Drosophila melanogaster: one gene and its partner. The protein of the gene in region 2 interacts with the protein of the main gene of each other region in a pairwise test. Each region holds a gene or a part of one and is shown on either strand. Other genes may lie near its edges.

What was found. The genes of interacting proteins can lie anywhere in the genome.
Region 1: the proteins of Sirt2 (region 2) and CG12723 interact in a two-hybrid assay, tested with the Drosophila melanogaster proteins (one large-scale study listed by BioGRID).

What each region holds. Positions count from the first base shown.
Region 1 is NC_004354.4:13,189,081-13,193,799, forward strand, and holds CG12723 (uncharacterized protein), read right to left. Parts: upstream 2,804-4,719; 5' UTR 2,693-2,803; coding exon 1,922-2,692; intron 1,857-1,921; coding exon 956-1,856; intron 893-955; coding exon 687-892; 3' UTR 563-686; downstream 1-562. Other genes in the region: Coq5 (coenzyme Q5), read right to left, coding at 4,252-4,554, 4,608-4,719.
Region 2 is NT_033777.3:20,326,878-20,331,429, forward strand, and holds Sirt2 (sirtuin 2), read left to right. Parts: upstream 1-1,587; 5' UTR 1,588-1,711; coding exon 1,712-1,796; intron 1,797-1,851; coding exon 1,852-1,943; intron 1,944-1,999; coding exon 2,000-2,096; intron 2,097-2,151; coding exon 2,152-3,038; 3' UTR 3,039-4,038; downstream 4,039-4,552. Other genes in the region: CG4360 (uncharacterized protein), read right to left, coding at 1-659.

The DNA.
Region 1 (4,719 bases), on a different chromosome or scaffold from region 2:
GTAAGATCGCGGATCGGTGGATCCAAAAATATATATGCGCGGTATATAGTCGGAATATAGTCGATTTTTGGTCCGCAGCAGACGCGCGTTCGCCGCCAACGATAACAAACAACTGAGCTGAAAAAAAGGCGAGCGAATGCCTGCAACATGTGGCATGCGGCCTTTCCAGGTGCCCCGCCCACTGGCGCCGCCCAGCCGACCGCCCAACCGCCCACTTTTCACCCAACCAAGCACACAACGCACTCATTCAGCGCGCCGGCTGGCAATTTATGAATGAAAAGCTGAACGGGAAAAGCTCCAAAGAAACCAACGAACGCCAAGTTCAAGGTGAAAAGCCCTTTGGGGGAAAAGCGCGCGCCGGAAAAGCTCAGGAAATGAAAATGCGCCGAGCCAAAGGGAATTTCCTAATGAAATTCAAATAGATAATATGTATGTGCCAAAAGGAAATAAACTAAGATATTATGTCTATATCTCGCATATACTTTGCAATAGAATTAGTTATTTAAATTATTTATTATATTTATTATTATTACGCAATAAATAAACGATCTGTTCAATTTTTCGATAAATAACTTATTTAATAGCAACATAATTTACAATACAAGTAGAGCACAAATGAACGAAGGCTTAAAAAAAAAAAACAAAAAAAAATTTGAAAAGATCCCTAGGTGGAGTGAGTGGTGGACTCAGTAGTGGTGGTAGTTGTGGCCCTGTTGCTGCTGTTGCTGCTGCTGCTGCTGCTGCTGGTGCTGCTGCTGCGCCAAGTTGGCCTGGGCGAAAATGTGCTCCAGCTCGGCATCGGTCAGCTGGTCAAAGATGCCGCCCTGACCACCGATTCCGGCACTACTGGCACTCAGGGCCGACGGTTGGGATCCCACGGGTGGCAGGTAACCTGGAAAATATTCGTTTGAAATATAGCATAATAATATATATCCATAACGTCATCTGAGCTCACCTTCAGCTGGCGCACTTCCGTATGGCGGGAGCAGGGTGATCGAGGGTCGATTCGGCGACGCTGGCGCGGATTCGGTGGGTGGACTATAGAATACCGGCTTCCAGGGCTGCTGGACGGATGGCCGCTGTGGTGGCACCTCCGACGGCGTCTCCGGCTCGGGTGATTGTGGGGGAATCTGCGGCGAGGCTATACCCGTGCCGGATTCAGGGCGGACGGGAGTGGAGCCCGGCAGCGGTACAATTCCGCCGGGGAATTGCGACTCTGGTTGGCCAAAAGTGGGTGGCTGCTGCGGCAATGGTGGCTGTGGAGCAGCCGGAAAGAATTGGCTAGTTGGTGGACTGGGGAAGGCCGGGACCGTGGGTACAGCTGGAACTCCTGGAACGGAGGGAGGTGATGGAATGGCTGGCGCCTGGGGGAACTGGGGAATCTGGGGAAAGCCGGGAAATTGAGGGAATCCGGGAAATTGTGGTATTTGGGGTATCTGCGGTATGGCCGGAATCTGTGGAATGGCGGGAACCTGTGGCACTTCTGGGGCTTCTGGTGCAGCTGGAACTGCCGGCTGGGCGGGCACAGCGGGTTGGGCTGGCACCGCTGGCTGAGCGGGCTGGAAGCTAAAGGTCGGCACACCGGGGAACTGAGGCGGTTGTGGGAACTGAGGGATCACCGGCAAATCCACAGCTGGGGGAGACGGAACACCGAAGGTCACTGTAGGTTGGATGGGTTGAACCGGTTGAAGGGGCTGAACCGGTTGGATTGGGCTAACTGGCTGCAGATGGGTGGTCACCGGTTGCACCGGTTGAAGGGGCTGAATGGGCTGGAGATGATGAACTGGCTGCACTGGCTGCACGGGCTGAACAGGCACTGCCGGAGCAGTCGGAGCATAGGTCTGCACATAAGTGGGCTGCAACAGAAAAGAATGAAATGGTCAACGGGATATTCCACAAGTTTCCTATGTAGCTAACTCACCTGCACGGCATGCACATGGCCATGAGCCGGAGCATGGAAGTGGACAGGCTTTACGGCGGACTGAAAGACCACGGGCTTCTGCAGGTGCTGGTGCGGATAGTTGACGCTGTACGAGGAGACGACCGCATTTCCGGGACGCAGGACGTACGAGGGCGGAGCCACGGCGGTGGACAAAGCGGTGGCCACGCCGGTGGACAAGGCAGTAGCGACTCCGGCGGGAATGGCACTGGCCACGCCACCGGGCAGACCGGTGGGCAATCCAACGGGCAGGGCTGAGGCGACGGCGGGCAGCAGGGCAGCGGGTGCGGGAGCTAAGGCGGGCAGCAAACCGGAACCGGAAACGAGCGGCTTGACCAGACCATGGCCGTATTTGACGAAGTGGCGGCGCGGAGGAGCGGCGGCCAGGAAGGCACTGCCTCCTGGCAGCTGCAGGCTATAGCCGTAGTGGGCGGCATAGGTGCGGGCGGGCCATTGGCCGTGCAGGTGGGCGTGGCCGTGTAGAATGCCACGCTTGTGCTTTCCGGTCGTGACCTCCACTTCCGTTTCCGGTTCGGTAACCACACTGGCCGTTGGGGCACTCTCCGCCACCGATTCCTCTTGTAGCGGGGCATCCTCGGAGGTCACTGTCAAAGTGGGCGTTGTGCTGGCGGGGGGCGTGACCGATCGACTGGTGTGACGCAAACGTAAGCCCGCCTCAGCTCGATGAGAAACCAAGATGACAGCCAAGACCATCAGAAGATGGAGGCTCCTCGAACTGGCCAAGAGATTCATTTCGATTCAGTGGACTTGATTTCTATATGCGTATATTTGGACACTATGTAATATATCGCCTCGCCTCGCGTTTAATCCGTTTGCTGCGATCGCCGACAAGAAAATGAAATGAACTTCCTTGGTCGCTGTTGTATTTATAAAGCGGACATCGCGGCACAGTGGAGTGGCACATACCCACTGTGCATACCAATCGGTGGCACTGGTGGTGCTAGCAATGCACCACCGTCAGCGGCTCATCGGCATGGCATACGGCATGGATTGGGCAGTTTATGACTTTTACGCTGCCATTTCACCTGCCGCAATCGAAGACCCCTCACCCACTGACCACTGACCACTGAGCAGCGCCTCATTATGCTGCGCCACCTGACCACGCACTGTGGTACCGTAGATTGTGCGCATATATATGGTATGTATATTCCTCAAGTATGGAATATTCCTACTACACTTCATATCTAAGTTTACTTCTTATTCAGATATCGAGATTATTATCATAAAAATCTAAAAGGCTAAAACTCTATATAGTTTGCCAACAACTTTGCCCACTAGTCCCACTGATTGCCTGGCCCCGCTCCACTGTCCCATTGGCCGGAATCCACCTACGCATGCGCAGCACGTTGCCGCACGCACCAAACTTTTGCTTTCAATGGCCTGCATGTTCCGCATGCTTTTTGTGCTCAGTTTTTTTTGTTTTTTATCGCCGGACTCTTTTCACTTTCGATTGCCGGAGATGGAAGGTCCGAAGGTTTATGATTTGGCTGCAATTTAGATACAAATCAAATGTGTCTCCGCTTACATAATCCGGCCAATAATATGGGCGGCTATTCGGGTGTCCAATCCGTGTTAATCAGTCGCCGGGTGAAAGCATAATAAAGCCATTGTAATAAAAGCAAAAGCGCACAATTGCAAAGCACCAATTAGCAATTACCTATTAAGCATGGCACGGTCAATTATTTTGATGGCATTTCAATGCTATTATTTGAATTTCGTTAAAATTCAACATTCACACGCATAAATTTCACCTGCACTACATCTGATGGCGAACTGAAGTCAATAGATAAGTGGATAGTTTCTGCATTATATCACATCCCATCGCCGTAAATGGACTTTCGATTAGCCTACATGGAGATTTTCACTTTTTTTTGGAAACGACCCGTTGGGTGTGTGGAATTTAAATCGATTACAGTGCCTTACACCTGGCATCTGGTACAGTTCGGTTATTGGGCTACCACCATATCGCCCTTTGCATCTAAGTGGGTCTGGCACACAATCCTCAAGGTCTTTCCCAGGCCTTGCCGCCGGAGATGTCATCAGTTTGCCGTTTGGGTTTGCCTTTTGGCACATGAAGTACATATATTTGACAAAGAGCTACATAAACCTCAAAATGTAAACATACAGAAATAAAAGCCGCCAGAGGAGCTTGTTTAATTCGATGCTTTATGACCTGCCCGACGTGAGCAGCATGAAAAAACGCAAAAAACCAACAATATAGATTATAGTTAAGCCCCATCAAATGGTCTTAGGATTTCCTAATCGCTTACAACAAATATCATCCTCGGCTGTCACAGTTTGAAGCCGGAGTGAATGCTGACCACGCCGAAGGTTAGGTTCTCGTAGGACACCTGATCGAATCCGGCCTGCTCGATCATTTGCTTGAATTGCTCCTGCTTGGGAAACCGTCGGATGCTCTCAACGAGATACTGGTACGCCTGCCACTGACCAGCCAGCAATTGGCCCATGGGCGGAATCACCTGGAAGGAGTACTGGTCATATAGCCATTGCATCGTTTCGTTCGTCAGATGACTGAACTCCAGGCACATGAATCGTCCGCCCGGCTGCAGCACTCGATACGCTTCAGAAAGAACCTTAGATGGAAGGGAGAAATAAGTACAAAGAGTACATTTCATGATCCGCCTACCTTATCCACATGTGTGCAGTTCCTGATGCCAAAGGCAATAGTGTAGGCCGTAAAGCTAGCGTCCGGGAAGGGCAACTTCTCGGCATCGGCGCACTGCCATGCGACGGTGCAG
Region 2 (4,552 bases):
TGCGTCTTGATGTGATTGATCAAGGTGCTCTGCTGGCGAAAGTCCTTGGCGCAGATGTTGCAGGTGAACGGCTTTTCTCCGGTGTGGATTTTCACGTGGTTGGTTAGCGTCGAGATCTGGCGGAAGGCCTTGTCGCAGTGTTTGCACTTGTAGGGCCGCTCGTCCGTGTGGATCTTCATGTGGTTGCGTAACGTGGTCAGCTGCCGGAACTTGTTCTTGCACACGTGGCACTGTTTCTTCTTGCGCGGATCGTCCACCACCACCTCCTCCTCGCTAATCACGCTCTGCACCTCCTGTTTCATAGGAGAAATGGGCGTGTGGCTGCCCCCGCCTCCTCCGCCACTGTTCGCTGTTGTAGTGGATATGTCCAGCAAATGGACCAGCGGGTGCTGTGGATGGAGCATGGCTTGGTGGGTAGGGTGCTGGATGGCCTGCACGGCGGTGAGTTGATGCAGCGCAAAGGGACTCTGTTGCAGGCTGGCCAGTGTGGTGGGCTGCTGCTGTCCCGAGTTGGGACCCGGTCCAGATCCACCATTACTCCCTCCTCCACCGCCACCGCCACCTCCTCCTCCGCCGCCACCGCCATGGGAGGCTGGCAGTTGGTAGTGCTGATAGTTGGCCATGGCTGCCGTGGCGGCTGTCGCATGGTTCAGATGCATGATATTCGAGAGATATGATCCTAGCGTGGATCTACAGTCTGCCCATCGGCGGCGTTACACAATGGCGGCCACCGACGACCCTCGGCCATTCCCCGCCCCCGCAGTTGCTTCCACTGCGCCGCTCCTTTTGGGGCCTTTTTTGATTTGTTATTTCAGTCGTCTGGTTTGCACTTCTGTGTACTTTTGCTGCGCTGCTGCTGCTTCTTCTTCTTCTCTTCTTCAACACGCTGCTTACGCTTCCACGTAGCGATTGGGAGGGCCTGAATCCGCGGCCACTTTGTCGCGCACTTCCCCACGATCAGTTTCCACCGTTTTCGCTCGCTTTTGGGGCGCTTTCTCCGCCGTTTCTGCAGTTTTTCCAGGCCACGCTCTTTTTGTATCCGTATCCTTATCAAAACAAAAATGACTGGCGTGGTTTTCCAGGGCTGAGCGAACGGGCAGAGCTGCACCCCCGCCGAACATCGAGTAATCGACTATCGGCCGGCCAGGGCTGGTGGCGCTAGAGAGCCTAACACTGGGTGGGTCGATAACAGCTATCGATTATTTGGACACTCCGTGCTGACAATTCAGCTGATTTTAACCTTTCAATTAGTTTATATTCAGATATCAACAAAGTGTAATTGTTATTTTATCTATACTCGATTTTGTAACTTTGCGCCCTTCTTAGCTTTAGTTATTCTATTATTCGGTTCCTTTTTGTTTAATGAGTCATAATATGTTCTAACCGTTACAAACACATATTTATTTGCGACCCTTAATAAATCGCTGTTAAATAAAAATCTTTCATTGATAGGCTACTTAAAGTAATTATAATATTTTGGTTTGCTCGCACAAATTTGATTTTAAAATCTAAATCAATAAGCAATGAAATTAAAATTCTAGCTTTTTAATAGCTGTTAGAGATAACTTATTCGTTAGCCTAAACCTATCGATAGTTGTCAGAACTTGTTTTGCTTTTTACGTTAAAACAAAACGCAACATAAACAATTGGGAGAATTCATCACACTATCCTCAGATTTACATACTTTCACCGGAAGGTGAATCTGTTTACCATGGGCGACATCGAAGTAAAGAAGGAGGAACAACCGACGACGCCCTCCAATTCCTCGTCCAGTGACGACGACGAGGAGGCCCCAGGCTAGTCTAAATAGTTAGGTCTTTACTGTCACTCATTAATTGAATTGAATTCTAGACGACACAATGGATAAGGTTCGACGCTTCTTTGCAAACACTCTACATCTCGGCGGCTCCTCGGACGCAAAGGAGGAAGTTAAAGTAGAGAAGGTGAGCGGAGCACCCGATAATTTGATTATCATATTGATTAAATCGCAAATTTGCAGGTTATTCCAGATTTGAGTTTTGACGGCTTTGCCGAACATTGGCGTGTGCATGGTTTCCGCAAGATTGTGACCATGGTGGGAGCCGGCATATCTACATGTTGGTACATTCTATATACCATTGTAAAAACTTACTAAGTTATCGCCATTCCTAGCTGCTGGCATTCCGGATTTCAGATCCCCAGGTTCCGGGTTATACAGCAATCTGAAGAAGTACGAGCTGCCACATCCTACGGCCATATTCGATCTGGACTACTTCGAAAAGAATCCAGCGCCGTTTTTTGCACTGGCCAAGGAACTTTACCCTGGATCCTTCATTCCCACGCCGGCCCACTACTTTATCCGTTTGCTTAACGACAAGGGACTACTGCAGCGCCACTACACCCAGAACATAGACACGCTAGACCGGCTTACTGGCCTGCCCGAGGACAAGATCATTGAGGCCCATGGCAGCTTCCACACCAACCACTGCATTAAGTGCCGCAAGGAGTACGACATGGACTGGATGAAGGCGGAGATCTTCGCCGATCGTCTGCCCAAATGCCAAAAGTGCCAAGGCGTTGTTAAACCAGACATTGTTTTCTTTGGCGAAAACTTGCCAAAGAGATTTTACTCCAGTCCTGAAGAGGATTTCCAGGATTGCGATCTGCTGATCATCATGGGCACATCGTTGGAAGTGCAACCGTTTGCTTCACTGGTGTGGAGACCAGGACCACGTTGCATTCGCCTCTTGATCAATCGCGATGCAGTGGGTCAGGCCAGCTGTGTGCTCTTTATGGATCCCAACACGCGATCGCTACTCTTCGATAAGCCCAATAACACTAGGGATGTGGCCTTTCTGGGCGACTGTGATGCTGGCGTAATGGCTCTGGCCAAAGCCTTGGGCTGGGACCAAGAGCTGCAGCAGCTAATTACAAGTGAAAGGAAGAAACTGAGCGGCAGCCAGAATAGTGAGGAGCTGCAACAAGGCAAAGAGAAACCGCAATCGGACCCGGATAAGATGACTTCGGGCGATAGGGACAAGAAGGATGCTTCGCTTTAGACCCTAAGATTAGTTAGTAACATCCGTAGTTAATTTGTAGTTGAATTGTGCAATTTGTTTACATGTGGATTACGTGTATAAAGCGGACAATGCCAAGCGCAGGCATTGCTGGCTAATACCGCGAGCTTTCTTTCTCCTCCGTTTCCGGCATTCAATTATTCAAGTGCCATTTGTGAGCCATTAGCGTGTCCCTTTTGGCCGGGCCACCATAAACCGCAAAAACTGATTGAGTTGCTCTGCCGTTTCCGGCGCACAAAAAGCAGCAAACCGCCAACAAAGGTTAACTCTCGACATGTTTCTGTTTCGTTTTCTGCTCTGATCCGGGCTTGGCTATGGATTTCGATGCTGGTGTTGGTGTTGGTGCTGATGCTGATTTCGATTCAGTTACAGCTGCCCAGCCCCTCGACATGGCTCGACCGCTGCTGTGGGCGTGGCATGTGGCATTCTAACTGCCTGTTTGTGTGGCTTACACGGATGCTGCTCCTGCTCCTGCTCCTCCTCCTGCTGCTGCTGCTACTGCTGCATCAACTTAATGACTCGCAATCTGTCCTGCAGAAGCACACACGCACAAAGCGAAAGAGACACACACGGTAGACCGGTAATGAAGCTTCTGCGGTGAATTGGCCAATAGAAAATACGTACGGGCAGGACTAATTAAAACCAAGCTCGCAATCGGGCCAGCGGATAGCTACTGCCGGGGTACACAACCGGATATTGTTAATCGTTGACAGGGGCGACGGTTCGGAGGTGGATGCATGGTATGATGGGAGGCATCCCAGCCTGTCAACTTCGGGACATGAATGGCTGCAGATGCATTAGGAAATCAAATGCAGCCACGGAAATATTGATAGCCACGCAATTTGTTGCAGTTTCAGCTGCCACTGCTGTTGCCATTGGAATTGCACTTGCTTTTGGCCCAAAACTTTTGCAATTAAAGCTAATGGCCTAAGATCTTGTCTATGTGCAATTTTCCCGAGTCTTGCCTTCTCAGCGAATGTTTTGCTGCACAAATAAAAATTATTTGTGTTCGCATGAAAAAGTTAAATAAATATCGATTAGCTCATCACGTTACGTTATTCAATACAAAGATTAGTTTGAAACATAAAAATAAATACGAAAAAGAAATATTCAGACTAACTGTTCACACATGAACACGAATATATTTAAAGACTTACAATTTTGGGCTCCGTTCATATCTTATGTAAATGAATCGAGAGCGATAAATTATATTTAGGATTTTGTTATCTAAGGCGACATGGGTGCATTGCTCAAAAACATGTAATTTAAGTGCACACTACATGAGTCAGTCACTTGAGATCTTTCCCCGCCTCCTAAAATAGTCCCTTAGTGGGAGACCACAGATAAGGTCCTCGCCGCTCAAGATAGGCAGATGTGCCCGAGCGTGGGACCTCGATAAGGCGGGGACTATTTACTTAGGCCTCTGCGTAGGCCATTTACTTTAAGATGCGATTCTCATGTCACCTATTTAAACCGAAGATATTTCCAAATAAAAT